4 linked regions of the Saccharomyces cerevisiae S288C genome follow. Changing the gene in region 4 together with the main gene of any one other region gives a genetic interaction. Each region holds a gene or a part of one and is shown on either strand. Other genes may lie near its edges.

Region 1 (8,095 bases), on a different chromosome or scaffold from region 4:
CCTATAAGTTTGCTCCCACTTTCTTGGCAAAAAGTCTGGTGTTTTCGAAAGAAAATTTTGCTGTTCATTTCTTGAAATGAATCGGCTTACCAAATTCATACCAGCAGTGGTCATCTTACCTAAGATTTCTCTTCACATTTTCACGCAATATCTTCAACAGAATTTGAAGGACAATCTCATATCTGGATAACTCTGTTTATTTTGCTTTTATTTTATACTTTAATGCTGTGAGTGTTTTATGCCGCTAAATACTGTTCTCTGTATATGCCAAACGTTCTTGATAAAACCGTCAACCGATAATAACAATGTAGGAGAGGCCTTTTAACAAAATTGAACGGGTTGTAATGAGGATTAAGAACTTTTTTAGTTTTGTTTTGATGTACGCCCGGATTTGCTCACCTCTTCATTCTGGCTACGTCTCCTATTTACTTTTCAGGGCTAGTGCAGTATCATTGAGTCCATTGAAGAAGAAAAAGCCTCAATAATACCAAGAGTACTTTCGATCAAGCGGATTCTCAAAAAAATTTCCACTGTTACTATTTTTTTATTTTGGAGAGTGAAAATGAAATAATAATGAATGCAAATCCTCCATAGTTCGTCAAAATATCATATTTTCAAAACCTTCCATCTTTTTCTCAAACCTCTATGATTGAGTATGAGTTATCCAGTACCAGCGCCCATCACGATACCTTAAATAGTAAGAGACAACGGCAAATTATTAAAGATTACAAAATAACTCGAGAGTAGCGCATCTAACTGACTTTGATCAAGGTTGCCACTATTCAAATTGATGCTACTCTATTCAAACAGTGGTTCTGAGCTCAATACGGTCAAACCTTGTGTAAGAAGAAGAATGTCAAGGAAAAAGAAACTCTTAGTGCTAAAAGAAATTGGGCTGCTAGAGCTGCTTCTGCCAAGATCAAATCTCACATGTTTATCATTCATGAGCACCGGTGGTTTCTTTATAAACTGTTTCAGCCACATATCATCTGGGCACACCGAAAACTTGTTAGTTTTAACTGATGATACCTCCTGTTTGAAGTTCATTTATCCTTCATATCACTGGTAAAGCGAACTCTTCTTCGACGTCAAAGATCAGTAAATTCTTGATAAACGGATAGTTAGAGTGATATTTTTTATCTAAAACGCCCCTTTTTGAATTAATTCAAACATTTGATTTACTGTACCTGGTTTGGCAACAACTTTATTACCTAAACAAGAAATAGCAAAATGACGAATAATATCAGCCGCTGTTACAACAAACTTACAGTACCATGTTTTCGTAAGGGTAATAATATTATCTGTACGGAATACATATTGGCGGAAAAAGCACAGTCCAGCTCGCGAGATATGCAATATTCTCAAACAGACATATATTGTTGCCCTCTTTTTAACCGTCTATTGATAAAGTAATTGTGCTTCTCTCTAAATAGCGGGCACTTCCATTATATATATATTTTCCAGAAATTTTGAGTGGCGTATCTCTTACATACTACTAACACTAATCCTGGATTCTTACACCAATTTATAGCGTTATACAGTTCAATTGAGTATAATGAATCATAGACTTTATTATAAAAGTAGTTTTAACAAGAGGAATGTTAATAGTTCATATAATTGATTATTAGCAGAAAAGATTCACCTAAAAGATGTAGGGGCAGGTAATCAAACCGATGTTATCTAAAAAAAAAAGACATATAATTAACTTCGTTAAATTAGAAAATGCGGATGTTTCTTTGCGTCATAGTGTGGACTTGATAGAACAATACCTCAAGCTACCTTTGCATTGAGTATGACGTATTATGTAGGATATATGTGGCGAGTGATTAGATAGATTTTTTTAGCTGCACTTAAAAACAGTCAGGGCTGGGCGGCAAAGTGGAAGGTAAGTAAAGAAAAAATGGTAAGATAAGGAAGCCGCGATGGAGAAGATGAAACATTCACTGCTTTTTAGCACTGTGTTATTCTTCTTGTTAGCTTATTTGACAATATTCGCCATTGCGTTGGCCCTGGGGAAAAAGTGTGCACTTATAAGGTCGTTACTATCTTTATTGCAGTTAACAGTCTTCGTCATATGTATAATCATTACGCTGTAGGTTTCTTATTTTTATATGAAGCAGTGATATATAACATAATAAAGTTTCATCGCCTTTTACACAGTATATAGGGCTTCACCTATACAGTCCCACACAGTAACACACTGCGAAACTATGTATCTCTTCTCTACTTATAAAAGAAAATAAGATATGAAGGACAATAATGAAAAGGAGAAAGAAGAACGGTATTTGTAACCTGCATTTTGTTTTTTAGTGGTGCTTTCGCTAGAGCCGCCACTACTTGAGAAAGAACTAGCATCATCGCTTTGGGCTGCGGTGGCAAGCAATGATTTGTACTGTGAAAATTCCGAATACGAGGTCCAGCTGACATTAATAAAATCTCCTGTTCCGATGGGACTACCGGGCTTATATACCCATGTACTAAAGTATCCGGGAGCAGGGGTGGCACCTGGGACAGTATCGGAGATAACCTCAATATCTTCTTCTTGATTATTAAAGCTAGCCTGAGCAATAGAAATTTCGTAGTTTTCTAAATCGTAGACTACATATGCGTCGACAAGGAAAGCATCTCCCAGCATATAAGTGGACTCGGATTGCTTAACATTTAAAACGCAACGATCCTTAGCTGATGTTACGAAATTGGATATGTTTGCCGATATATTAAATCCTCCAAAGTCGACGGACAGTAAAGTATCGTTCACTTTTGAACAATCAAAGATGTAGCCTTGGTCGTCAGAGCTGTACTCTCCGTCAAAACTTTTGCCGATTGCTTCTGCAATTTCGGTGGGTAAATAGGAGAAAGTTGTGCCAGAATCCAACATCACTGGAAATTGAATATCCGAAACAGTTTTATTGCCAGATTCACTATCCAAAATTGCCACACTTTGTGCAGTAATAATCATCCCAGGATTTGAGCCAAGGGTATTGAATGCCTGCAGCATAGGCAGGGTGTAAAGCTGTCCTGTGTACTTACTTTTGTCCACTGCACCAAACAAGATGCTCCCGAAGTGTGCATCAGGTCCATTCAAAAATAAAGAATACGCTATTTTATTAATCTTTCCCTGATTTTTTAATTCCATTGGAAAGTTATCATATATGAAAGGTGTTCTGTTCAATGCCAATGCGTATTCGATACCATCTGTAAATTCTGCAATGGGAAGCGATATGCCTAAAATGCCACTTGGATTGCCTATTGTATCATTTGATACACCAAAAGTGAAATCATTTAGAGTAATATTTTCGAAAGAGACAACATCCGTACCATAAGTCCCTGCATAATACGTACCATCTCCGTATGTGTTATTGAAAAACGTCGCATTATTCTCAAAAGTAGATGAGTTGCTTGCATCGAATGTACCCCAATAAGAGCAGAGAGTGTTATAAGCTTCTGATGAGATGGTAGTCGAAGGAAGCCCATTGAACGTTGCTGTGAGCTCGTAATTATCAGTTGAAGCGTAGTCAGATCCGTCAGACATCGATTTGCAATAGGCAATGTCAGCATTATTCACAATCATATCTGAAGAGCCAGTATCTAACTGTAGGTACAACGTTTGTGGAGGCGTTCCGATTTCCATCTTGACAACATACACTCCTATTCCATTTATCACTGTGGTGTTAAGAACCTCATTTCTTTTGAAGACGGTAGAAACATCCTGTGTGCATATATTTATAATATCAGCCAACTTTTGAACAGGAAACTTAACATAGGAACTTGCGGAAGACCCTAAAACGGTCAATGAACACATCAATGATGACAACAAAGAGAGGATGGAAATCAATTGCATATTGATAGCTTTGCGTTGTCTTCAAATATCCTTATTTTCGAAAGAGACAAAATTTAACAACTGATCAACCAATGAAAAAAGAGAACAAGGAAGAACGATGAAAAACCCTATTCCAAGATCATAACACCTTATATACTCTCAACTTTGAAAGCAGTTCCAAAGCTTAAATCCTCGAAGAGTACTGCTTGCATGAGGTTTACGCAACAGGTCTAGTCAGTTTTAACTCCTCGGATATCTCGAGATATTTTGCTGTAGTGAGCGACAGGGTAGCAAATTTTTGGACCCTTAACCCCTTATACAAATTACCACCATATGTTCCTTTTCTGCAGCGAAAACCTCGGTGTTGTCAGAAACAATTTAAGAAAAGCACAGGCGAAATTGGGCTTGCACTGGGTGATCAACAATGCCAGAAATAAATGAGAAGCTTTTTACTCTTGCTTTTGCTTCTTCCTCTTTATGTTCAAGCCAGCCAAGCTATGTTATAGTGTTGAATGTCTTGAACCGTTATAGTTTCTAAAAATAACTTTACATTTTGTTATGCAATCTTCATCATCTCGAACTTTTCAACAAACGTTCAACAGTGATGGTCTTCCCCAGTGAACCAAAAGACATATGACGCTCGTATGGTATGTTAAAAACAACATAGAGGATAGTAGGTCGGGGTTTATTGTAGAAAGGACATAAATAGTTGACGTGGTAAATTTTCATCAACTAAAGCCACATCTATTTTGCCAAGTAGGAGATAATGTAATATGTAGAGGGATCGAGATTTACTGAAGCCTCACGTGAGGGCAATCTGGAATCAGATTGCACTGGTTTGCACCATACCTCTCAAAGAAGAAAACGTACTACTTTTTTAGTTGAGTATGGATAGGGTAGTGTTTCCTAAAGTTATAAGGTAAAAGGGGCAGAGGAAAAGTCGATAATAATTTGAAAGAAACTTGCTTCCATATTCACAAAGGAGCTGGATACTTCATGTCATCCGCACATATATCTACAAAAATTTCAACTTTTTGAGGTTGATACTAAGTCTTTCGCTACCAAAATGAAAGAAATCAATTTGGAGAGACTTAGGCTGAATATTTCCGCGTTCTCTCTGGGGATGAAAGATTTCTTACTGCAAAGAGTTTCAGTATTTACGGATTGGTTACAATTTTTTTTTTTTATCATAATCAATTCTTTGAATATCAACTTCTCTCAATACCATCCGCCTCTCAGCGGCTACAATTACGTAATTGCACCAAGGCCTTCGCCGAGAGTTTACATATTTGCAGACCCTAACAGTATACGACTCCCAACACACGTTTAATGTTGTACGAATTCAAGAGATAGAAATATTTCTTGCATGGAAGCCGTTTAGAGCAGACTGAATATGGGCTTAGACAATAAGCTTCTGTACGAGGGTCCAAATCTAAAATTCGGATATTCTTTTTGACCGAAAAAGGAAATGTCACAGGCACAGAAAAGGGTTTTATAAGGCACCTCGGCACCCTATAATTGGCATTCCCACATTCTGCGCATACGAATACACATGAGTGCCATAAAACAATACTCCACATACGAAGTCTATGAAAGATGTATGATTCGTTCAGAAACAAGGTCATCTCCATAGAGATAATGAGATTGTGTGAAAGATGAGATATGGAGGATATGTGAGGTGCTAAATGAGCACCTGTTAACGAATCGTTTAAGTAGTGATGACTGATGAAGGCATGGGTATAAATAGAGCTGCTTCAACTGTATGTCTTTGAGAATATGTTTTTATTCCTTTCTTTCCTGTTAAGCTTATATCAGCACTAAAAAACAAAACAAATATAATGGTCAAATTAACTTCAATCGCTGCTGGTGTCGCCGCCATCGCTGCTGGTGTTGCCGCTGCCCCAGCCACTACCACTCTATCTCCATCTGACGAAAGAGTTAACTTGGTCGAATTGGGTGTTTACGTCTCCGATATCAGAGCTCATTTGGCCCAATACTACTTGTTTCAAGCAGCTCATCCAAGTGAGACCTACCCAGTTGAAATTGCTGAAGCTGTTTTCAACTATGGTGACTTCACCACCATGTTGACTGGTATTCCAGCTGAACAAGTCACCAGAGTTATCACTGGTGTTCCATGGTACTCTACCAGATTGAGACCAGCTATCTCCAGTGCTCTATCTAAGGACGGTATTTACACTGCTATTCCAAAATAGAGACATGCCTTTACGAATGAGATTCCATAGACATTGAAAGTAACGAAAAAATGAAATAAAAAATGCTTTCAATATAAATACAGCTGATTACATATAAACATATATTAATATTATAAATTCATTTGCTTTCACGAACTACCGGCTGGGCGTCAATATAATAGGGAACGCATAGTTGCTCTTTTATCTTTCTCACAACTAGGGGTTTTTTTATGTGAGCTGTACGGAATAGGCCAGTTTTACAACAGGATTCGTAGATCAGAATCCGTTCAAGCTATTCACCTGTTACAGCAGTAGAGTTGCTCTTGTCTTGACCCGTGAATATTAAATACTGTAGAACCAGAACGGATACTTGAATATATTCAACGATGGGAAAATAAAAAGACATATAAGAAAAATGTGCTAGTACGGTAAGGAGGATACTGAAAAGAAAAGGAAAATATAGTTTAAAATAGTAAAGATAACCCACTTTCGTTATGGGTTTAGTGAGGGTTGGTAACGAACCGTAGCGCGGTGTAGTATGCTGTGAATAATTGTACTTTAGCATAGTTAACATTACAATCTTTGTACGTTTATATAACAAATATGATAGAGTATGAGAAAAATTAAATGATACATTTTGAGGTTAAGGTTGAAACTATTATATGGAAGAAAGGTGGAATATAGTTAGGGCCAAAATGACACTATAAATGACATGATGTGAGCCTTAGTAAGGTGAGAGCTACGCTTCCTGGTTTAAATCAAAACCGAGAGCCCAAAATATTATCGGTATCGACGTAACATTTCAATGTCATTCAAGCTTAAAGGAGATCAGCGCAAATGCGTGAAGTCTTAGTCATTGTAAATGCGATTTTTCTTTGTTGAAGGTGAAGTCGGAAAATTCACATGACTGCAAAAAAATCCTAGTCTACAGTATGGTAACCAAAAAATGCTATATATACATATGTCCTGCATGAAAGAGAGGGCGAGTTTTCAGTTTGACAAGCTTTCTCTTATTGCTGCTATTCCTCTCTTTTGTTTGCCATTTTCAAAATTTGTTTTGTCTAACCATTCTTCAAAGGTTTTACGAATGCGTAACCATTCTTTATCGATTATTGAAAACCATTGAGTGTCGCGAGTGCGACCCTTATATACCACCACTTGTCGAAACGTGCCTTCATACTTAAAGCCTAAGCGCATCGCTGCCCTCCTTGACGGCCCATTTAAACTATCACACTTCCACTCATATCTCCTGTATTGAAGATCATCAAATACATACTTCATTAACAGAAATTGAGCTTCAGTTGCAATAATCGTCTTCTGTAATTCTGGTGAAAAAACAACATATCCAACTTCTAGTGAACCGTTGGCTTCATCGATTCTTATTAAGCACAATGTACCAACGGCACGTTCAGTCTCTTTATTAATAATTGCGAAAGGCACAGTATCTTTAGTTTCATTGAGTTCCTTAATGAATTCTAGATATTCCTCCAAGTTAGTGAATGGTCCCGCAGGTAAATACGTCCATAATTTTTGGCCTGCCTCACTATAGGCACTAAAAAGTTCCGAACCATGTCTTTCTCTATCTAGAGGTTCTAGTCTGCAAGTGTTACCTTTCAATACAACTTTCTCTGGGAAGGCCCTTGTTGTCCAACCTTCGACGTCAGCACCAACTTCTTGCCCAAATATATTTAAATTCGCCATAATTGTTTCTACTGAAGGGCATTATTTCCAGGTTCAGAGGCGGGAAAATTCTTGCAAGGCGTCCTCCCATGCTATTTTTATATCATTGTTGATTGTTTATCAACCTCTTATCAACCTCCTATCAACCTTTGAAGAATGGCTCAAAAAAAAAACAACCTTCCATTATGAACCAATAAACAGAGCAAATATCACGTGCACAAAGAACTACGAACTTTTTGACTTTCACACTGGCGATGATCCAAGACGTATTACAGTACAAGAGATCTGCTTTATTGTAAGCCCAGTAAACAGCTTCTTATAGACTCTGCAAATATAGGTACAGAGTTTGCATAATTTTCTAATATACACTTATGCCTTATGATAATCCCAATTTTGAGAAGGA
Region 2 (7,724 bases), on a different chromosome or scaffold from region 4:
CTGACTACTTGGGTCTTGGTTTTCTTTATCATCTAAAAGATTGTTTTTGGGGAGTTGGATACCATTTTCTTTCAGGGTTCTTTTCTCCTCTTGTGCGGCTGTTGATCTTGATACGCTTTCTCTAGTAAATTGAGGAATCCGACTTCCCTCCTTCTTTACTGAGTTTAGTGTAGATTTGAAATTTGTTAGGGCTGGATTATTCGCATTACTCTTTTGAAATGTCGTATTTGTTACATTGTTTAAGGCCAACCTTTGTACATTCCTCAAAAACCTTGATGAACTAGTATTCTGTGAGTTTTCTGTGTTTTCTATTGGGTTGGACATCTATAAGATCAATGAAGAGAGAGAGGGGGTAATCAATAAAAGGCTTCTTGGAAGGAAATAGCAAGTTATAAAAAAACTTCTGACAAACGAGCGAATGAAGTTTTTATACAATGATTAAAATTTCTCCAATGTCGTTAAAAGAATCTAAAAGGACAAAAATACAAAAGGAAAACAGATGCTCAATCAAAGAACCGCTTCAACAGATATTCTATGTCAATTTATTGAATAGCTCGCAGTAGGTTTTTATTATACACTGGCTCAATCAAAAAGAAAGAAAAAAAGAAAGAATAAATAACCAGTATCCTTTAGCTATATTTCTTTCGCTTTTCAGAAGTATCAATTCGAGAATACTTTACTTCTTGAGGTATAGGACAAAATTAATACCAGAAAGATTCAATTTTAGTAAATTTTTGGATCTTTTCAAAAGTCTAGCTAAATTGGCAAAAAATTAACCTAAAAAAAATCTATTTTATTATATTTTGATTTTTTTTCCTTTCTAAATTTTTGAGAAAGGATCTATTTCTCTTTTCCCCAAAGAGGTTATATTTTCCATTAAGAGCAAAATTTCTGAAACTCTATGCCCATGCTATGAGATGCTAGCTGTAACGAGTTTGCTATTTCCTCGAGGGACAGGCACCGAAGTTCATCCATATCGCGAACTTCGTTGTTGACCTTTTCCTGATTCGGTCGCTATATTTACAAATCTCCTTTTTTGATTAGTGCCTTGAACTTGCACTTTCCTAAACGGGCTCAATATGTAAACATATTATACAAATAGTTACCCGCATTTGGAATAAAATCTGTCTTTTGGCGGCTATTTCCGCGTGTTTGATTAGAAGGAGTAGTGGTCATTCTAATAATTCCACTGTGCTAATGCACTCGCACTTAATTTTTAAACTTCCGATGCATCAACACTAATGATCATAGCATAAAACGCGTAGAAGGCGATCTTAAGTTTGAGTCCCCCTAAGGCACCTTAGTAGACGGTCAAGAACAGGGTGTGAATATGGGCGATATTCAAGCGAGATTAGGACTTATAAAACAACAACAACAGGGATAACAAAACACTTGACCCCTATTTTTGTAATAAAACCGTTTTCAAGGTAAGGCAGTTAGTAATTTATGTACAACAGAAATTTCTGCCATTTCTTTCACGACAATAACGTAGGATAAGGCCATGAAAAACAAAAATACTAAAGTGCTTATCTAATAAAAGGAAAGGATTAAGCAGTTCCTGCCCATATTTTGGAAAGGCCGTAGCTTAGTTTCCCTGAAATTTACTTCAAGAAAGGTCTGCTTAGCAGTCACATATGTCAATTGTGGGCTGTTTAGTCAAAACCACTTGGAGGTTGATGAATTGATAGTATTTTGGTAAATGAACTAAATATACATTATCAATAAGACGTTGGAGGGGCTTTCTGTATAAATTCACCGAACACTCCCAAATTATGATAAACTTGCTTAAGCATCTTTTCGAAATGCAGTGCATGTGTTAAGTGACAAGCTAAAGGTAAGACATTACGATAATACTCTGTATAGATCGTAGTAACATGAATTATGAAGCATATAAAAATAATATGAAATGTTCATCGAATTTAATAAGTATAAATGCATGAAGATAATAATTCAATAAGATAGATAAACAAAAACGCATGAAGAGAACTTGTAGAACAATAAGCATATATCACCACTCCACTTTTTCTGAAAATTGTGTAGAAATGTAAATTCTGTGATGTTCGTTATGATTCAGTTTCTGTTTCTCAATCTCTATGTCATACTCTTACGCTATATGATAACACACTAGTAGTAGGAAAACTGGTCAAGAGATGATTGTTGTTTCTTTTCCCAACTCATACACCCCAAACAAATGCCTTTATCAAAATCCGATCTCAACACTTATCTTAGTTTACACATTTATCAAATAAGGTTGGCAATGTACCTTTTTCGGAAGGTAAACATCAAATATTTATAGAAATATTTATTAAGGACGCTCTGTTGTATTACGGGCTCGAGTAATACCGGAGTGTCTTGACAATCCTAATATAAACAGTCTTAGGGAAGTAACCAGTTGTTAAAACAGTTTATCAGATTAATTCACGGAATGTTACTTATCTTATATACTATATAAAATATGAATCATACTAAGTGGTGGAAACGCGGAATCTCGGATCTAAACTAATTGTTCAGGCATTTATACTTTTGGGTAGTTCAGCTAGGGAAGGACGGGTTTTGTCTCATGTTGTTCGTTTTGTTATAAGGTTGTTTCATATGTGTTTTATGAACGTTCAGGATGACGTATTGTCATACTGACATATCTCATTTTGAGATACAACACGCTCCGAAGAACTCATCCTTGTTAGCTCAGTTGGTAGAGCGTTCGGCTTTTAAGCGCATTTGCTTAAGCAAGGATACCGAAATGTCAGGGGTTCGAGCCCCCTATGAGGAGTTCTTTACTTTTTTGCACGTTTTACAAATATGCAGAAACAAAGACAATACATATTGTATCAGTTGGTTATAGTGTTTTGGACTTACAAGGTTCTGACAATATACATTAATGTGTTCCTTTTATTGAATGAAAAAAAAAAATAATTCTTACATCTCAATATGAAATTTTATCCTTTACAGTACAAAAGTAATTATTTCGAGAGTCTAATTAGAATGATATCTAGAAAAGGCTTTCCAGTTGAAATTCACCACTGGAATTTTTGGTAAATACACCTTCTTCTGTGATAATTCCGTCAATAAGCTCATGTGGAGTAATGTCGAAGGCTGGATTCCAGACATTGATTTCAAGAGGGGCAATACCGACCTTTCCAGTGATTGGCTCTCCTGACTCATTCAATATCAAGGAACCATTTTCAGGATTAATTACTGTACCAGTAACAACCTTGAATTCCTCAGGGTTACGTTCTTCCACAATAATGTCATCGCCAGTTTCGGTTACATTATCGATAGTTGTTTTGGGAGCTACTACAAAAAACTTAATTCCGAACTGCTTACAAATTACAGCAAGTTGTAAAGTACCAATTTTATTTGCTGTATCCCCATTACGAACAATTCTATCAGCTCCAACAAATGCTGCTTTGATTGGAATTGGACTAGTTCTAATTCTATACGCGATGGAACTATCAGTAATTAAAGTTGATGGAATCTTATCATAAACTAGCTCGTATGCTGTTAGCCTTGACCCTTGATTATAAGGTCTAGTTTCCAGTGGGAAGACATGGCCCATCCTCGGGCATTTTTCATTGTCCAATCCCGAGTCTGCCTTGTCGGTTTTAGCAAGTGAATCCTTCCACAAAGAACGGATAACACCTAAAGCCGTGCCATATCCAGAGGTTGCTAAGGATCCAGTATTACAAATCGTCAGAACGGCAAATTCGTCCTTGAAACCGTCCTTTTGTAACACGTCAATCAAATACTTAGCTCCATTATCACCCATTTTCATGTTATTCGCCAAATCCTCATCTATCAATTCACAGACGTAATTATATAAACTACCGTCAAAAGCCTTTAGGTCACTTGAGGATTTCAGTATGTTCTTTATCTCTACAAGAGAATTTGATAAATTAACGGCTGTGGGTCTACTACTCAAAAGGAAATCTAGCCTCTTATTTAGCACTGTTTTTGTAGATTCCCAGTTAACTAAAGAATACAGCGTAGCAACATCAGAAGTTGGGTTGTGTTTTATTAATTGTACCTCAGTCAAAACAGATAACGAACCCACAATTGCAATTGCCGGGGCACCTCTCACCTGCATACTTTTGATGACTGAGTACCCATCATCAATTGTGTGAATTGGAACGTATTTAGTAGTATATGGTAAAAGTAATTGATCAAGTACCTTTACCGAAACATTTTCTGGCTCCGATCTATCAAAGACGATGGCTTCCAACGACATTTTTTGTCAGCAGTTTGATAGATCACTTTGTCGGTCGTAGATATTGCTCTTAATCTTTTTATTCTAGCATGCTAAATTGATGAATGGGGAATACTTTGGCCGTGCGCCCCATCATCTCATCTTAGTAAGTGAAAAACCGGAAAAACTAACGCCAAGAAGGCCTGTAAAAAAAAAATCTTACTGATTTTCATTTTAGTATATAATACAATTACTATATAACTGAAGAATATTTACGCTAGACACATGTGTGTGTTTCCTCATTTATTTTTTGAAAACTCACTCGTAACAGGGTAAAATGGCTTTACTCCATTTCCATCATTTTCATTATACGTTTCATCTGAGTTTATTGATCTGATATCTGAAGAGTGCGTGGAGCTATAAAATGAATTATGCCCTTCGACTTCAAGGATATGTGAATTATCACGATTTTGAGAATCTGGACTTAGTAATCGATGTATTTCCATAGAAGTTTTTTTCTTATTCTCTTTTTTATGAGGCAAAAATTTGTTACCAATAATATTTCCCAAATGTTGTAAAACTATTCTTACGACGTCTCTTTTCAAAGCAGTAAAAAATTCTTCCCTCGACCACAGTTTGTTATGGTACTTTAAAACAGGGACTCTAACAATCAGGTTATTAACATCGGTCAAAAGGCTGTGTGAACCCTTATAACACACGGACATTAGAGTTTTTCGGATTATAATAGATTTTACATTGAAAAATGTCCCTGATCTTTTGACCATTTCATTGATGTTATAATCAGGTTGCACAAAAAGTGATGCTGACAATTTTCTATGATCACCCTTATGCTTTTTGATACCTTCTTTGCTCTGGATACTACGCAAGTCCCAAGAGTCAACGTCTTTCGCATCGTACACAGATAAAGAACCGTTAGAAAGACTGTGCCGTAAAACTGGAGACGATGAAAAGAAGGAACTAGTGGAAGAACGTGGTACAAGTTCTGGAGAATTGGGTTCTATGGAAGTTTGTTCTATCTTTGGAAATAGATAATTCATTAGTTTTTCCGATGTTTTGTGATCCATCTTGAAAATCAATGGCTGTAGAGAAACAATCAAATCTTGCAGATCTGAAATACCTCCAACTGATGGCCCCAGGATCCAAAAAATTTCTACCATTGGCGCGTTCTTATTATAGGATGAATTTTCATAAAAGGGGGCCAGCAATTCAGTGTAAACGGGATTTTCTTGCTGGTTGAAACATTGTAAGGAAGAAATGGATACTTTATTACTATTAGTGCCATCGGAAGTTTCTGAACGAATAAATGTAGAGGGCCCCAATCCGATAGTCACGAAAGGAGTTTTACTCTCATCGTACAATTCCCATATCAATTCATCTGTTCCAACTTGCCACCTCAATCTTTTCTGTATTACTCTATTACCACTCCCCATCCGGTCGTAAGTTTTCTTGATTGCCGTCATAAGTAACGTCAACTTCAACGTACTAGTTTGAATATCGAAGGTTAGCTCTTGTCCTGATTTCATAAACAATCTTGGCTCGTGAAGTTTGAGGTATGCTCGCGTATAATAGAGTTCCTTTATTCTTTCTTGTAATGCTGTGACAACAGAGACATCAAGATTTTCCAGGTTATTTCTGACCTCATCAGTAAATAATATCCTGGAAAGTTTCTCAACTTTTTCATCCAATGATGATCCAAAGGAAAGTAAATCTTCTGCGATTGCATATACAGCGCAGTATTGTTGACAGTCCGAGGTCAGAACCAATCCTGGAAATGCAATACGAAATCTCGAATCATAAGAGAATGCAGACGTATCATTTGCACTAAAAAATAGGGGATTGGGAGCGACGTAGGTCAAAAACATTGATCTCCGTTTTAGAAAAACATGCTTATCTAATAAAGACCCGTCAAAGCACATTTCAAGAGGAATCCATGGGGGCCATATATCTGACTCTTTGTCGGAACCATATCCATTTTTATGGAAAAATCTACCTTCAGGACCCTCTAAATCCTTTTTGAACAATGTAAACAACTGAATGTCCTTTGAAACAGCGGAATAGCGAGTTTCAACAATAGTATCGACGTCAACGGGAATTCTTTTTCCTGATTTTCCATACACTTGAACTATATCAATTATTCCCATTTCTATATCCCTAGCAGCTAAAATAACTGCTGCGTTCCTTTCAACGTCCGATTTGATCTGAACCTGAGGGGAGATTAGTCTAAAAAGATAATTATCAACATAATCAAAGTCATCACTCGGAACTTCTCTGATGAGTTTCTCAAAGTGCTCAATAAATTCTGAATTACTGGCTAAATCGTCCTCAAGTATTGAACCATAATCTTCTACAGATGTTCTGACCCCAGTCAACACATTTCCCAGTAATTCTTTTAAAATAGTTACGGATTTATAAGTCACAGCAAACCTCATAGATTTCCTTTCGAAAGCACTGGAAGCGTATTCCAAAAGGTGATGCCTGATTTTATTATCGATTTTTAACTCGATATTATGGACCATGAAACGGTTATCATAGGTGGACTCAACCTGCATAGTAGAGGCTTTTCTCATTGATACAAAAGACTCCACGGTATTGGTCCTCAATAGCGATATTCTATTTTGAATTGGCGGTGCATTTTCCAAATTTACATCAGTATCGGAGAGTGAGCTGGAGCTATCACCATCAGTATTTCCTCCAGGAATAGTCTCCGAGATTTTTAAATCGCTCAAGATGGTGTTGACTGTGTGCAATCTGTGGTTTAATTCAGCTACCTCTGCTTTTAATTCGCGTGCATAGCGCTCCGAATTTCCACTTACCGAACCTCCGCCTTTGTTCGATTGCAATTCGCTTAACGTAATATGTAATAATTTTAGTTGTTCTTCTATTTCTCGTTTTCTTTCAGTTGCTAATTTCTCCTGCGTCAATTCTGGATGATTCTTGCCAATCAGACAATTGTGAGATTCTTCGGTACCAAATGGGTAAGCTAGTACGTAACCATCATCATTTATTTTTCTAAAGTAGGATATTCTAGGAGAGTATAGCAATGGTATTGCTTCTAATTTTAATGGAAGTGAGGAACCAAGCGGCACTTGATTCAAGTCTATATAATCCTCATAATCATACCAATCTGATTCACGCAAGTATTCCACATCTTGAGGCGTAATAGGACGTGATGGCTCGTCTTCAAGTATGCCATCGAGTCCAGAAGTAAGAATTTCCTTAACTGCTTCCTGATCAAACAGAGTTGATAATATCCTAATATCTGCTTCTGCACAATCAATCTCACCCCTAGACATCTTAAACTTCCATACAGGTTTTGACTTATTTAATTTTTGGTTCGTATGGGTCAGTTTAACTCTTTTTTGATGCAAATCAATTTTCAGTGAATCAAACCTCCCTTTCAATCCAGTAAAAGTTATTTTGCGGTCTTTTTCAAGATCATATTGAGTAGTAATATGCCGATAAATATGCGTAACCATTAGCCGTTTTAAATGTAGCTGATAAGCTATTGTAAATAATGAGC
Region 3 (8,229 bases), on a different chromosome or scaffold from region 4:
GTGTGGTTTTTTGAATGTTTGTGCCAGCATGTGTTATCTTCGTTGTGTAGCGTAGGTCTTCGTCAGTTCAGTATCCTAATCTGCAAATATCTGGAGGTATATTAACTTATGCTTCCCTCCATACAGGCAGGCCCCAGTCTGCTTCATCTTGTTTCTCGCTGGGAACTTTTGTCGCCCCATACGATAGTCACTGTATACGTAATTCTCAGCCGTGCATATTTCACAATAAAGACAGTCTAAAGGGACAAAGGCAAAGCGTCAATGGACAGACGACAATTAACTGGATATTATTTTATGTGTTGAGTATTCAAAGCACATAAACAAAAACAGATTATGATGGATAGCGGAAAGAGTGATATAAATAAGCATGCATACAAGGAGACAGCGACCCCGCTGCCCGTAGATCCGCCCTCTTACGAAGAAACAATGAAGCAAGATAAGGAGGAGGTCGAAGCCGATGAAACGACATCTTCCGCACACAGAGACAGCTTTATGAGGCCTGTTTACACTCACCATCCGCATCCAAGATCCCACAAGGGATATCCGGGTGCGAAGACCCTTACATATACTTCACGGTAGGTGGTAAGCGGTATATGTACATATACATATATATATATATATATATATATATGAGCGTGTGCATGGATGTACAACGATAACAAAAGCAGGTACAGGGTATCAAAATATTTTATATAATATAGTTACTTAGGATATTTATTATTAGGTCTAAAAAGAAATATTACGAACAAACATGATATATTGGTGTAGCGGAAAAGGAAGATAAAGGAGGGAGAACAACGTTTTTGTACGCAGAAACTAAGCAATAACACATGCTGGGTCCCAGAAGACACCTTTGATAATATAGTTGTCCTTCTTTTCACTGCTGGTCTTTTCTTTTGGAGCGGCGGTAGCGGTAGATGGTTGCATTTCTATTCGATGGCTTTGTACTTATTTTGGTTTTATCCGAGAAACAGTTACAGATCCCTCTCATTAATTCATTTCTGGCGGTTTATATATGAAGACTCTATTTCATTTTTTTACTTGATTTTCAGCAACCACTGAATCTGTATCTTTATCTCTACCATTTTAGGTTTCTTAACTGTTTTTTCTGATTACTGGGTTTCATTTAACATGTAAATTTCCTTTTTGGGTAATTACACACTCGTTTGTAACAAGAACAAAGAATAAAGGTATGGGCCAACCGTAGCAGTAGGTGCCTTTTTTCTGAACACTGAAACAGATCGTGAATGCATGTATATGCGTACATAGAAAATAAAAAGTAGTTGATTACATAGCTTATGCCACGTTGCACACTATCCTGATGTTTTAAAGCTCCTCGGATATAACACATCCTAAGCCCATAAATGCCTCTGTCAACACCCTTTCGTACGCATAATTAGTGTTGAACCCAGACGCAATAAATTCTTTCCTGTGCTCAAGATCTTTGATGAATGGGTCATTGTATACTGAACCTTTCAACGTAAACCTTGGGTGTGCTTCTCTATCACCGTTAAACGGCGTGAACGGTACAGCATCTTTGAGTCTCGAATTCTGTACGTTCACATTTGAATTGAAATATGGATTGTTTTTCAGAACTCTATTTAGTTCTTCCAATTTCCTTCTAGCGGACGATTTTTTCAATTTAACCGTATTTTTAACGCCTTCGATTGTTTCATTGATATCCTGGGTGGTCGTACTCAACCGGTTGACGATTTCTTTCTTTGTCCACTCTTTGTTCATTCTTTCCTCCTCTTCGATTTGTCTTTCCAACAGTCGCTTCTTCAATTTCATCTCCTTTTCGAATTTTTGTCTCTGTTCGAAACTTTCTATCTCTGTTCTGCTTCTCTCCAAGTTATTCATAATCAGTTGCTTGTTTAATTCCTCGTAGGTGCGTAGTTTCTCCTCGGTCTTAGCCACATCGATCCCGTGATCTAGTTTGTATATAATGTCTTCCACCTCTTCCAAATATTTGTTATATTCCACAAGGTCACCATTGAAGTCATCGATAGTTTTGTTGAACACATTGAACACTCTCTTCCTGATGTCAACTTCTTTCTCAACTTCCACATCATCGAATATTTGGGTCTTGAACTTATTCTTTCTAAGAATCTTGTCACACCCTTTATATGGACACTGGGCAGGACCGAGACTAAATATTCGATCAACACACGACTCACAGATCCTGTGATAGCATTCAGGATTCACCAAAAATTTCACATCCGGAGAAAGGTATCGATCTGTCTTACAGATCGGACACATGTCCTTGTTTTCCTCATACTCATCCATAAGCATTTTTCTTTCACTTATATTTACTTGTGTGCGGGGGCCCACTAATGCTGCAAATCCTAAGAGGAAACAAACTCAAATTTTAACAAGCAGTTCAGTTTCTTAGCTGATGATGAGTGCTGTCTTGTGCGTCTGTTCTGTTGTATACTCTCTTTAGTATTAGTGCTTAAGAACAAATTTACGAGCGAACGGCCCGATTTGGACCATTTAGTCGATTTTTTTTTCCACTATTTACGTTTTAAATAATAGTAGCATAAACACAGCACTCAAACAAAACAACTAATTAGGCGTATATCTGCCCGTTGTAATATTTTCAGAACCTAGCTAAGGTCCTTTCATCGCGACACGGCAGAAATTAAACCGTTGTATATGAATGGCTCTATCATGGAATATTCGAATCAGGCGCAGGTCATGGTTTAGATTCATCTTACCGATTATCGTGCTCGGTTTACTGTGCTACGGTACGTGGGCTTACTGCCATAAACTATGTTACGAGCAAGTCGACAAACGACTTCGTCAGAAATCAGTTTCGGTTGGTCTTATTTGTGCGGTATGCTTCCTAGACGTAGTCGTGATTTTCATATGGCTTCAAATAGTTATCTTGGTCGGTCCAGGTACCCAACCGCACGTAGCACCTTTTTTGATCCTTCCTATAGCCTCTGAAGAGAAGACTAGCAACACTTCTCAAAACACTTCAGTGGAATACGATGCTGTGGTTCCGCCTAAGTGTTATCAGTCTGATCCTCACGGATACCCAATATGGTGCAGTGAATGTCAAAGTCTGAAAATGGAACGAACGCATCATTCTTCAGAACTAGGCCACTGCATTCCTCGCTTTGATCATTACTGCATGTGGATAGGGACTGTTATTGGTAGAGACAATTATAGACTCTTTGTGCAGTTTGCTGCTTATTTTTCAACACTTTTACTTATCATGTGGGTGTCTATTTGCGTTTACATAAGAATTATTACTCAACACAATCATAATTATAGCCCCAATTTAAACGCAAATATAATTTCAACGTTAGTGTTTGCCATCCTTGGATGGTTATTAACCGCAAGTTTGTTGGCATCGAGTATTTTTTACATGAGTCAAAACAAGACGTCTTTGGAGGCTATCATAGATAGCAAAAGGAAAAAATTTGGAACAAGGAAGATATTTTGTTATTACTCGGAAGCAAACAAGTTGAGGTTTGTGGTAGAGTTCGATAGATCTGAATTTCACTCTTTCTGGGACAAAAAGTCAATCTTAGCTAATATAAAAGACTTTATGGGTTCTAACATACTTATGTGGATAATTCCTTTAGGCAAGCCCTATACATCTCGATGCAAATCTGATGGCAAAAGCGGTTCAAAAACAACGCTAGTGGAAATATTGGGTCCCTATGAAGAAACTCTTAGTGACTACACCATTCAGGCCATTGAGGACAAGATATCAAGAGGAGAATATCTGGCCACATTGCGGGCTTCTGGTGACGATAGTGATCCTGCTTACTAAATAGTATTAAATTTTTCAAGCAATTTATATTCTGGGACGAAACTCATGTTACAATCGGTATATGTTTCTATTATCTATTCATTTTAATATATTCTGTATGCGTAGGGGAAGGGATAGTATATACATTTTCTTGATCGTCCTTCCATAAATAGTAAGAGATAAGTTTGAAAAAAATAAAAAAGAAGAGAGATTTTAACAGCAAAGAAACGGTAGGATGAACTTTAACGGACATAATAGTAGAAAAGGAAGTTTCCTATCTTCACTAATCGACAATGGATCACAGAAACCTTGATCCGAAAACGCTGAAGGTCAGCCAATTGAGAAGAGTTTTGGTAGAAAATGATGTTGCGTTCCCTGCCAACGCTAGGAAGCCTGTCTTGGTGAAATTGTTTGAGGAGAAAGTGAGGCAACGTCTCCAATCTTCACCTGAGGCCTCAAAGGTTAGAACTAGCATTCAAAAGGTTGTGAAGTCTGGGGCAAAAAACGCAGATCGCAAAAAGACATTAAAGAGTAAAAAGCTTGAATCAAGTTCTAGTGAGAGTAAAACTGTCAAAGATGAAAATGTTGAAACTAACAAGAGGAAAAGGGAACAAATTAGTACGGATAATGAAGCGAAGATGCAAATACAGGAAGAGAAGTCTCCTAAAAAGAAAAGAAAGAAAAGATCTAGTAAGGCCAATAAACCACCAGAGTCTCCTCCACAATCTAAGTCAGATGGGAAAGCAACTTCTGCTGATTTAACTTCTGAACTGGAAACTGTAGAAGAACTTCATAAGAAAGATTCTTCGGATGACAAACCAAGGGTAAAAGAGCTTCCAAAACCAGAATTGCCGAATTTAAAAGTATCAAACGAATTTTTAGCTCAACTAAATAAAGAGTTAGCTAGTGCAGCTACGGAGAATTATGATCATTCTATAAAATCCACGGACTTATCGTCTATCAGAATCGAAACAGAAGAGCCTGTTGGTCCTTCAACTGGAGCAGAAACAAGAAATGAAAGTGAGGTGATGGAGAATATCAATTTGGAAGTCCAACCTGAGGTGAAGGAAGCAAAAGAAGAACTAACAAAAATATCAGAAACTTTTGATAATCAAGACGAAGAGGATACTAGTAGGTTATCGTCGAAAAAAAATATACGAAGTCCAAAAGGTCGCACCAGGCACTTCATTGCCAACAAAACTAAAAGAGGGATAGATATTATGAAACCGTTTATTGCACATCTCTTCATTTGGTTATGGAATGGTGCTATTTTCCTTTCAATAATATGTCCTATTCTTTTTGGTCTTTGGTATCGAGAACAGAGAATTCAAGTAGGATATTGCGGTCATGAAAAGCCCCTGAAATCTCTTGCAATCTCAGCTTTCCCTCAGACTGAAAGGGTAGATTCAGTGTTGCAAGCTTATCGACCAAATTGTCTCGAATGTCCTGAGCATGGAATATGTTCTTCTTTTATGAATGTTGAGTGTGAACCAGGCTATGAGCCTAAAAGTTCTATTTTAGAAACGTATGGTATTATTCCTTTTCCAAAATATTGTGCCAAAGATGAAAGTAAAGAAAAGGAGGTTGATGAACTGGTTTGGAAAGTAAATGAATATCTTAAAAAGAAGAATGCACAACATGAATGTGGTGAAGGAGAGAATCTCTTTGAGAGTGGTGAAACGGAAACCAAATTATATGATATATTCTCTCATTCTAGACCGTCATGGGAAAGTCAAAGGGAATTCAATGATCATTGGAAAAATGTGCTTGAAATATTAAAGAAAAAAGATGATATTATCTGGCTGCCATTAGATTTTGAAACTAATGGAAAAAGAGAGAAATCTAAATCTAATAACACTAACTATATTTATCGTTCAACTTCAAAAAAATGGGTTACGTTGCAATGTCATTTAGAAGGGGATATACAGGAGTATATAACGAAATATGGTGGTTCTTTATTTATCACCCTAGGCGTCCTTTTCCTTATCAAAAAAATACAATCGACACTTGACAATTACGTTCAAGGAGAGCAGATAATTGAGAAATTGGTAAAAGAGGCAATTGATAAATTGAAAGATGTAAAGAAGAACAAAGGTGAAGAACCTTTTCTGACAACAGTTCAACTAAGAGCTACTTTATTGAGCGACATACCAAATATAAAAGAACAGAATAATCTATGGGCTCAAACGAAAGAAAAAATCATGAAAGAGCAATCAGAGAATATAGAATTATATCTTCTTGAAGAAAATGGAGAGATCATGACATGTTGGGAATGGAAAGAATGATCGTATTTCCGTCTTCAAACCACTTTTTGTTACTTTTCTTTGTTTTGTTTTCGTATTTGAGTTTCTAATGTGATAAGTGACTTTTAATTTTGTAATTTGTTTTCACGGATATTTTTCTTAGGTAAGTGTATTCTATTAATCTTTATGTAAAATATTATAACCATTCGCTGTTTCAATATGGTTTTATAAGTGGAGTTTGTACTTTTTTTACATATCATTTACTGTATCTTACATCATACCTTTTTGAGAAACTTTGGAAGATATTGCTTGTCATAAAAAAAAAGGGCGAAATGCACATGAAATCTGTATTATGTTTCGTTAAGATTAAACGCATTTTTACAAATTAAAAAATCCTTCTGTTCCTCTTCCTTGGGCAAGTGTTGTATGGTTAAAGGTTTAAATAAAAGACGTTCTAAAATACTTGGTTACATGGCGCTATAAATTTACACGAAAAATGATCAGGCAAGACCAAACCCTTCATGCCCTTCATTGATTGCCAATAATAGTGAACCACGCAATGTCTCATATGATTCATAAGGAGGTAAATTCAGTTGATTGAAACAGGTATGTGATGATGGTAGTCTTTCTGATGAACCAAAATCACGATGGATGGAAAATTTACAAACACCGTTGACACCGCTTAGTTCCTTAAACCCATTTAGAGGAACTTTACTAGTACCGGTAACAAACTGCAACAACTTGGCACGTTCTTCAGCGTCGAAGGATCTAACTGCCCTCCAAAAATAACTCACTTCCTTACAGGTTGCGGTGTAATTAACATAAGTAGTATTGTTTTTCCAGTCGTCGACATCAATATCAGGCAAACCGCTGATTAATAACTCCAATTCCTGCTCATCAAATATTGTAATGAGATCTTTGGATATAAGGGCATAGAAACCCACTAAAAAGTTATCCATTTGTTCCTTAACAGATGTCTGAAGTTTATATTCGACAACCTTTTTCACATAATCCTGTTTATTGGCCTCTGTAACTATTATATCCTTGCCCCCCTCAATCAAATTGATAACTTTATGTTCACCATAATCATCAGTTTCAACAGAAAAAGTTTCCTCTATAATATCTGTGATATCGTTTTCAAGAATCCACACCAATGATTTATAATAATCTGGATCAAGAGACTCCATATCCTTCAATGATACAGGCCTACCCAAAATATTCTTGTATACTTCACGACTAAAATGGCAATCCAAAAAGCATTGGTCTCTAATTGCTTTCCCTATAATCATCCCGATAAATTTAAAGAAAGAAAGGTGCTCAGGGTTGATACCTGATGTCCGATTAGGATGGAAAGTAGTTTTATCCGATGGTACAGGAAGAAAAAGAGCATAATCAGGGTTGAACATCTGTCTCGATAGTACTTGGTACCATTCTCTGGTTACCCCACCGGCATCGACACCACTTTCTCCTTTGAATGTTATCTCTAATTTAGAATTCTTGATTTCATCGTTTGTCTTGAAAAATAAGGCTCGATAAGAGTCCAAGAAAACCTGCTCACGGCGAACGGTAATAGGTAATTTAGGACGCTCTTGATTATCAGACTTCAATTTGGCATTGAAGAAATATCTTTTGTTGTCAAAATCCAAAACTTTTGGATTCTTGACCAATAATGCGAAAGGACCACTCATCAGTTTTGGATTTGAACGAATCATTTGATTCAACAACTTCTTGTGTGCGTCTGTAAATGGGAAAAATAAGTTTTCGACACGTGTTTTGGAAAAATCCAATAATTTAGCATCTTCATATTTGACTGCAGTGTTTCTATTTTGACTTAAGTCACTACGCCTGCATACAACCATAAGTGATTCGATCAACGGAAGTAAGATTGTGGCTGAAGTGTTGATGGCTTGACTCTTTTCAAATTGAGATAAGCACTCACTCAATGAGGACCACACTGGTCCGCCGTTCATCTTATCATATAAAGATTGAAGGTCTTTAACGTTGCGCTCTTCCTCTTTTCTTTTGTGAGTGTAAAGAAAATCAACCGTAGTTAAAATTTTCAATAATTTAGCTTGATCAGAACTTGGAAGGGTAAATTTCTGTAACAGCTCTGAATTGATCTCCATTCCGGTGGTGATAGTGCCTACTTCACGTGATAGCCCATCGAGAGCACTCTTTAATTTACTCATTATGCTGATAGCTAAAGATACCAAATGTTTCGTG
Region 4 (7,974 bases):
AAATAAAAAATGAAATTCCTCCTTTTGTAGTCGAGAATCGGGAAAAATATCCTTCATTGTATGAATTCATGAGTCGCTATGCCTTCAAAAAAGTGGACATGAAAGAAGAAGAAGAGGATAATGCGCCATTTGTACATGAAGCAATGACATTGGATGGCATACAAATCATTGTCGTAACTTTTACCAATTGCGAGTACAATAATTTTGTAATGGACTCACTGGTCTATAAAGTTCTGCAGATATATGCAAGAATGTGGTGCTCTAAACATTATGTAGTTATCGATTGTACCACCTTTTATGGGGGTAAGGCTAATTTCCAAAAATTGACTACTCTATTTTTCAGTTTGATACCAGAGCAAGCATCAAGTAATTGTATGGGATGTTATTACTTCAACGTCAACAAATCATTTATGGACCAATGGGCCTCATCATATACTGTAGAAAATCCGTACTTGGTCACTACAATTCCCCGTTGTTTCATCAACAGCAATACTGACCAAAGTTTGATAAAGTCCTTAGGATTGAGTGGTAGGAGTTTGGAAGTTTTGAAAGATGTAAGAGTTACTTTGCATGATATTACCCTTTATGACAAGGAAAAAAAGAAGTTTTGTCCCGTGTCCTTGAAGATAGGAAACAAATACTTCCAAGTTTTACATGAGATTCCGCAGTTGTACAAGGTTACCGTATCAAACAGGACATTCAGCATCAAATTCAACAATGTTTACAAGATATCAAATTTAATTTCAGTCGATGTCTCTAACACCACAGGCGTTTCCTCGGAATTTACGTTAAGTCTTGATAATGAAGAAAAGTTGGTATTTTGCAGTCCGAAGTACCTAGAAATTGTGAAAATGTTTTATTATGCCCAGTTAAAGATGGAAGAAGACTTTGGTACGGATTTTTCGAACGATATTTCATTTTCAACATCCTCTTCAGCAGTTAATGCTTCTTACTGCAATGTTAAAGAAGTTGGTGAAATTATATCACATTTGTCATTGGTGATCCTTGTAGGTTTATTCAATGAGGATGATCTCGTCAAAAACATATCATACAACCTTCTCGTGGCAACGCAAGAAGCATTTAATTTAGATTTTGGGACAAGGCTTCACAAATCCCCAGAGACATATGTACCCGATGATACCACCACGTTCTTGGCCCTAATTTTCAAGGCTTTTTCAGAATCTTCAACGGAACTAACTCCATATATATGGAAATATATGCTGGATGGCCTTGAAAACGACGTGATTCCTCAAGAACATATTCCTACGGTTGTCTGTTCATTGTCATACTGGGTACCAAACTTATATGAACATGTATATTTGGCAAATGACGAAGAGGGACCAGAGGCGATTTCACGTATAATCTATAGCTTAATCAGGTTGACGGTCAAAGAGCCAAATTTCACGACAGCTTACCTTCAACAGATTTGGTTTTTACTGGCATTGGATGGTCGTCTCACGAACGTGATAGTTGAAGAAATAGTAAGTCATGCGCTGGATAGAGATTCAGAAAACAGAGACTGGATGAAAGCTGTGTCAATACTAACCAGTTTTCCAACGACAGAGATTGCTTGTCAGGTAATAGAGAAGCTAATAAATATGATCAAATCTTTTCTACCTTCTCTAGCAGTTGAGGCTTCCGCACACAGTTGGTCTGAGCTTACTATTTTATCAAAAATTAGTGTGTCAATTTTCTTTGAATCACCCTTACTTTCCCAGATGTATTTACCGGAGATTCTTTTCGCTGTGTCTCTGTTAATTGATGTCGGTCCTTCGGAAATAAGAGTCTCATTGTACGAGTTGTTGATGAATGTTTGTCATTCTTTAACCAACAATGAGTCCTTACCTGAAAGGAATAGGAAAAATTTGGATATCGTCTGTGCAACATTCGCACGTCAAAAGTTGAACTTTATCTCCGGTTTTAGCCAAGAAAAAGGTAGAGTTTTACCAAATTTTGCCGCTTCCTCCTTCTCCAGTAAATTCGGAACATTAGATCTCTTCACTAAAAACATTATGCTATTGATGGAATATGGTTCTATTTCAGAGGGTGCACAATGGGAGGCAAAATATAAGAAATATTTGATGGATGCGATTTTTGGCCATCGGTCGTTCTTCTCTGCGAGAGCTATGATGATTCTAGGTATAATGAGTAAGTCGCACACGTCCCTTTTCCTTTGTAAAGAACTTTTAGTTGAAACCATGAAGGTCTTCGCAGAGCCAGTTGTGGATGATGAACAAATGTTCATCATTATAGCTCATGTCTTTACTTACAGCAAAATTGTCGAAGGGTTAGATCCTTCTTCAGAATTAATGAAAGAGCTATTTTGGCTTGCTACAATATGTGTTGAATCCCCTCATCCTTTACTCTTTGAAGGTGGTCTCCTGTTCATGGTAAATTGTTTGAAGCGACTGTACACGGTCCATCTTCAACTTGGATTCGATGGCAAATCGCTAGCCAAAAAATTAATGGAATCTAGAAATTTTGCTGCTACGCTTTTGGCTAAGTTAGAGTCATACAATGGATGCATATGGAACGAAGATAATTTTCCTCATATTATTTTAGGTTTCATTGCAAACGGTTTATCCATTCCTGTCGTAAAAGGAGCCGCATTAGATTGTCTACAGGCCCTTTTCAAGAATACATATTACGAAAGAAAGTCCAACCCAAAATCCTCCGATTATCTTTGTTACCTTTTCTTACTCCATTTGGTCTTAAGTCCTGAACAACTTTCTACCTTGTTACTTGAAGTCGGCTTCGAAGATGAACTGGTACCTTTAAATAATACACTAAAAGTGCCACTTACTTTGATCAACTGGCTAAGTTCAGACTCAGATAAATCTAATATAGTCTTATACCAAGGAGCACTTTTGTTTAGCTGTGTTATGTCAGACGAACCATGTAAATTCCGTTTTGCTCTATTGATGAGGTATTTGCTCAAAGTCAACCCTATTTGTGTATTCAGGTTCTATACGCTGACTAGAAAGGAATTCAGGAGGTTATCAACCCTAGAACAATCATCTGAAGCGGTTGCTGTCTCTTTTGAATTGATTGGGATGCTTGTTACACACAGTGAGTTTAATTACCTAGAGGAATTTAATGATGAAATGGTCGAACTTTTAAAAAAGAGAGGCTTGTCAGTTGTGAAGCCTCTGGATATTTTTGATCAGGAACATATAGAAAAGTTAAAAGGAGAGGGTGAACATCAAGTGGCAATTTATGAGAGAAAAAGATTAGCAACAATGATACTGGCAAGAATGTCGTGCTCCTAATTTTAAATTAGAGTATTGCAGTGATTATATACGTTTTTCCTTATAATTATATTTTGTTTTATATTTGTTGGATTGTAGATTTTAAATTAAATGAAACGTAGAGATTTGTGTAAAGTATAATGATTGCAAGGTTAAGAGTGAAACATTTTTAGAGCACTACTAACTAGCATTTTCCAAGGTGGAAAGATCCGAAAAAGCACGATTACCGGAAATCCAACTGTTGACCATTTCCAAACTTGCCTCCGGTTGATCATAGGGCACCATATGACCGGCATCGTATATTCTCAAAAAGGTGAAAGGGCCATAGTTCTTGACTTGTCCCAACTCTTCACCTGTTTCTTTACTGACCCATGGTCTTAACATCCTTCTCTGATACCTACGTTTATTGATCCATTCCAACTCATTGGACCAAGCATGGTTTCCCAGCCAATTACAAATATAATCCTTATCACCCGCATATATTAATACCGGAATGTTGTGATTTAATAATTCAGCAATATATTGTTGAAATGGTTTACTTCCATCGCCCGTAAACAAAAATCCGGTGAACACGTCATTATCACAGCCAGAATAATTATGCACGTCGGACCCTAGCGTTTCTTGAACTTCAGGAAAATTCATATACTGGTCGACATAGCGGAGACCTGTATAACACATACCATCAGTACTATTATCTTCACAGGGCCCTCTAATGTCATAGACGTTGAGTCCTGTGTTAATGTACGGTTCCAAAAGTGCAGAGTCACAGTAAGCAGTGGCGACTATGCATGGTAAACTTGATTTAGAAGCATAACATAACTTGTTCAACCTACGACAACGACCTGCAGCTTTACTCATTTTCTCACATTCTTCTGATGAGAGAACAGGGTGATAGCCCCCTTTCCCGCATGCCATTGGTTCATAATAATCTGCTTGAATCAAAGGGTCTGTGATACCATTACCAATCATAACTGAAGTTAAATTGAACGTTCTTTCAGGGTTCTTGACAACGATCTCATGTGCAATTTGAGGGATATAATGTCCTGCATAGGATTCGCCTGCAATGTGGAAATCGTTGGAGCGTAAATGAGGAAAAGCTTCAAAAAACAATTCCAGGAAAATGTACGCATCTTTGCCTGCTAATTTTGTAGAGGAGACTTTTTCATCACCATAGGAAAAGCCGACTCCGAGTGGCTGTTCTAAGAAGATCATTGAAGCGTTATTATTCCAAGAATAGGGATTGTGGATTGGTTTCATATCGGCGCCAATTGATGAGGGGCCTAGTTCAAATAGCAACCCAGTAAACGAGGAACAACCAGGTCCACCATTTAACCAAAGAATAATTGGGTCGTTAGCAGGATCGTTCCTACTTTCAAAAAACCAGTAAAAAAAGTGTTTGGAATCCTTATAGTCCATGTAACCCGACCATTGTTTTACGGTGTCAATTCCTAGTTTAGAAGGATCTACTGTTCTAAGTCTCAAACTGTAATCTGTGTCCACAGAAGAAATAAAAGTTGTAAACAGCGGATCATCGTGATTCAAACGGTCCAATTTAAGGGTTTGCTGTGTATTCTGTGGAAGCTTTAGCTGTTTATCCAAATTGGCAAAGGTGGTATCATCTTCAAAAAGAGAAAAGGCTCGGCCGAATGAGGCGTATTTGATGCTAATAAGAAGCTGAAGCACGAAAACTAAGTTTAGATACTTCATTGTATGTCGGTATCACTTTTTGTATAGCTGTTTTAAAGAAAAAATGCAGGATGACAATTTTCGTTCTTATATAACCCCTGTCCCCTGACATTTTTCGATAACGAAGCGTTATCTCACCTTTCGTAGAATGCTAGCGCCGCCTCGGCCATTTTTAGGAAATTTCCTAAATCGCTCACATTGTAAACAAGAACATCTTAGAGAACTCTAAGCACTTTTAGAAAAAAGGATTATACTAAACGAGTCAAAAACTATTTATCCAACAAGTCACAGATTGGAATAGTCTCGAAAACTTGATCCAACCACTAATTAAAAGGTTAAAATTAAAGGATGGAGAAAGATCAAATCCAGCCTAGGGTGTTGGAGTCAGTAGACACAAACTCATTATCCTTGCTTTCGTCCAATACCAGCTCAAATATGAATAGCAACACCAACAATAAACTCAGTATAATTGCCAGTGATATTTCTACAGGATCCGTACTTTCCAGGCCCTTGACTCCTCCAGTCGTCCAGGATATAGAGAATAACTCCATGTTACAATGGCAATTTGAAAAGAAGGAATTTATCTTCGATAGTAACAGCACTCCTTCGAAGCAGGCAAAACCATTGCAGAGAAATTCTCCATACCAAGGCAATAGTCAAAGTGAAAATCAGAACCAACAGTTATTGAATGTAAGAAAGCGTCGCTCACAATTGATAGGTGCCAAGCCTAAAATTCCATCCAAATTGTACCAATCTGTTTCCAAATTAGATCTAATTGATGACAAGAGCTTTACGTCTTTGCCAATTGCGCCTCCATGCAATATCGAAACTAATGAAGATGACAGTGGAAACAACGAATACAACAACAATAAAAAACGGCCCAGGTTGAATCCTGTAAATGAACTGCGAGTGCATAACAACAAACGTAATAGGTACGTCAGTTATGGGCCGAGTTTAGATACAAAAAACTACGAGCTAACAGAAAATACTTCTCAGGATATACCACCGCTAGTCCTGGTTGAAGACTACATACCGTATACCCAAAGTAAATCAACAAAAAAAATGGTATCTATTTCAGATTTGAAATCAAAACTAAGTAAAAGAAGAGATAATCATATCCCGCTGAGAGTAAAAAATTCATATTCTGAAATTAATAAGGAAACCAATAGAAATAGCTTTGAACCGAATTCACTAACACTGATACCCCATATATTAAGGAATACTGAAGAAAATAGGGACGAAAGTAACAACCCCTTAGATTTTATCAAAGAGGAAATTGAAATAAGTGATATTTCCATACCAAATTCCATTGAAAATATGGTGGTTAACTTGGTTAATATTCCATCTTCCAATAAAAGTTACGATGATCTTTATCTATCGGAATTAAATGTTCATTCCCAACTGAGGAAATGTGTCATCTGCGAAAAGGCCCTATATGAAATTAGCTCGAGACTTTTAAATTCAGGATACTATAAAGAAATTGTATGTGAGCAATGCACAGTTAGATATGAAGAAGCCGCTAAAATCTTTGAGAACTGCGAGTTCGAATCATCTATGGATGAATCAAATCTAAGCAGCGGTACTTTTAGTGATCTAGAGAATTCAGCAGAACCGTTTCATTTATCGACAGATGTTCCAAAAAAAATAAATAGGCACATAGAAGATAACAAGATCGACCTTAAAAAGGAAATATCAAAAAAAAAGGACAGCTTCTCTAAGGAACTAATAGAACGATTGCAGTTGCAATTGCTAGAAAATGATAAGTCAATCAAACATCATTTTAATAAAGATGCAATGGGCTCTAAATCAATGAATTGGTTTTTGGAAGCAAGAAGAAAATTGAAGTGGAAGTGGAGAATAAATGGTTTACTTCCGCATTTCTTACGCAATCAAAATAGTGATCGTTTAAATTTTCAACCTTGAAAATACATTGCTAAGAGATCACTAAAACAAACAGGACTGCATTGGTGCTGTGTATTTTTTCAAGGGCAAAACAATCAATATATATATGAAAAGCTTACGACTAAATAACAGTTATACTAGTAACGGGTAAAAAATATTCTATGGTGTTCAAGCCTCTATTTTACTTCTACCTACATTCTCAATCCAAATTCAAATCTTCTTCTAGACTTTCATTAGCAAATGCAATTAAAGAGCTGACTGCCATTAAATGGTCTTCTTCCTGCTTCAATCCACTTATAGTTAAGCAGGCATAGGGGTAGTCACTTCTCTCCGATTGTATTAGGACAGCACCTCCATGGAAAGCGTATTCTTTTGAGTCCACAAAAAACTTTTCCTCCGGTGTTTTGTCACCTTTCTTGCAGCCCATATAGAAACTTGAATGACCAAATCGAAGCGCTGTCTTCTTCTTTCTCTGGATCCAAAAATCATTGTCCAATGCACTGCCACCGTAGGTCACTGTGCGAAACAAGCAATGCCCATTTGGTAAGGAGATATCAATTGCAACTGGTTTTTCGGGGAAATTTTCTTTAACTGCATTTCTTATGTAAGTCCCCAAATCAAAGGCATCTTGATATGTAAAAGTAGACAAAAAGCATCGTTTTTCCATATCTTCGAGCTCTTCTAAGGGAACCTTACGAGAAGTCAATCTTTCCAATAACTTCTTGTCTAAAACCACCATAATAATTTTCTCCGTAGACTTTTTTTGAATAATTTGCTCTTATAATAAGGCTTGATTAGGTTGTTTCTCTTTTGAAATGCGAGATAGTCCTTAATATTATTACGTACGTATATGTTATGTTAACTTATATGGTGTCAACATCCCTGTTAAGAGAGATAGTATGACATGAAGCGGGGATAAGTATCTATTAACTCCGCCGGAGAAAAGCACCTGCAGTGATGGTTAGATCAAGAGGAAGTTCGTCTGTTGCCGAAAATGGTGGAAAGTCGTTACCAAAATGGAAGCCAACCAATATACATCTTGCTTAGATTGTCTTCTGATGTTGCTTCTTGGATCAATGTTTCTGTTTGGCCAGCAACACTCAATACCAGGCCATCCTGCGGATCTATACCGCGGATT

The links.
Region 1: mutations in ATG42 (region 4) and YPS6 together harm fitness more than expected from each alone (negative genetic interaction), as found in Saccharomyces cerevisiae (one large-scale study listed by BioGRID).
Region 2: mutations in ATG42 (region 4) and MRI1 together harm fitness more than expected from each alone (negative genetic interaction), as found in Saccharomyces cerevisiae (one large-scale study listed by BioGRID).
Region 3: mutations in ATG42 (region 4) and HEH2 together harm fitness more than expected from each alone (negative genetic interaction), as found in Saccharomyces cerevisiae (one large-scale study listed by BioGRID).

What each region holds. Positions count from the first base shown.
Region 1 is NC_001141.2:428,271-436,365, forward strand, and holds YPS6 (aspartyl protease), read right to left. Parts: upstream 3,842-8,095; coding exon 2,228-3,841; downstream 1-2,227. Other genes in the region: seripauperin PAU15, read left to right, coding at 5,659-6,033; YIR042C (uncharacterized protein), read right to left, coding at 7,003-7,713.
Region 2 is NC_001148.4:764,253-771,976, reverse strand, and holds MRI1 (S-methyl-5-thioribose-1-phosphate isomerase MRI1), read right to left. Parts: upstream 4,226-7,724; coding exon 2,990-4,225; downstream 1-2,989. Other genes in the region: B-type cyclin CLB2, read right to left, coding at 1-324; HOB2 (Hob2p), read right to left, coding at 4,483-7,724. UniProt on the Saccharomyces cerevisiae protein: Catalyzes the interconversion of methylthioribose-1-phosphate (MTR-1-P) into methylthioribulose-1-phosphate (MTRu-1-P).
Region 3 is NC_001136.10:1,377,874-1,386,102, reverse strand, and holds HEH2 (Heh2p), read left to right. Parts: upstream 1-4,056; coding exon 4,057-6,048; downstream 6,049-8,229. Other genes in the region: mitochondrial 54S ribosomal protein mL40 MRPL28, read right to left, coding at 1-30; CMI8 (Cmi8p), read left to right, coding at 337-579; MFA1 (mating pheromone a), read right to left, coding at 817-927; TFIIH/NER complex subunit TFB3, read right to left, coding at 1,327-2,292; palmitoyltransferase PFA5, read left to right, coding at 2,660-3,784; E3 ubiquitin-protein ligase TOM1, read right to left, coding at 6,507-8,229.
Region 4 is NC_001134.8:512,645-520,618, reverse strand, and holds ATG42 (carboxypeptidase C), read right to left. Parts: upstream 4,956-7,974; coding exon 3,429-4,955; downstream 1-3,428. Other genes in the region: GTPase-activating protein IRA1, read left to right, coding at 1-3,269; YBR138C (uncharacterized protein), read left to right, coding at 5,283-6,857; YBR137W (uncharacterized protein), read right to left, coding at 7,036-7,575; protein kinase MEC1, read right to left, coding at 7,845-7,974. UniProt on the Saccharomyces cerevisiae protein: Vacuolar serine-type carboxypeptidase involved in vacuolar zymogen activation, breakdown of the autophagic body, and autophagosome-dependent protein synthesis.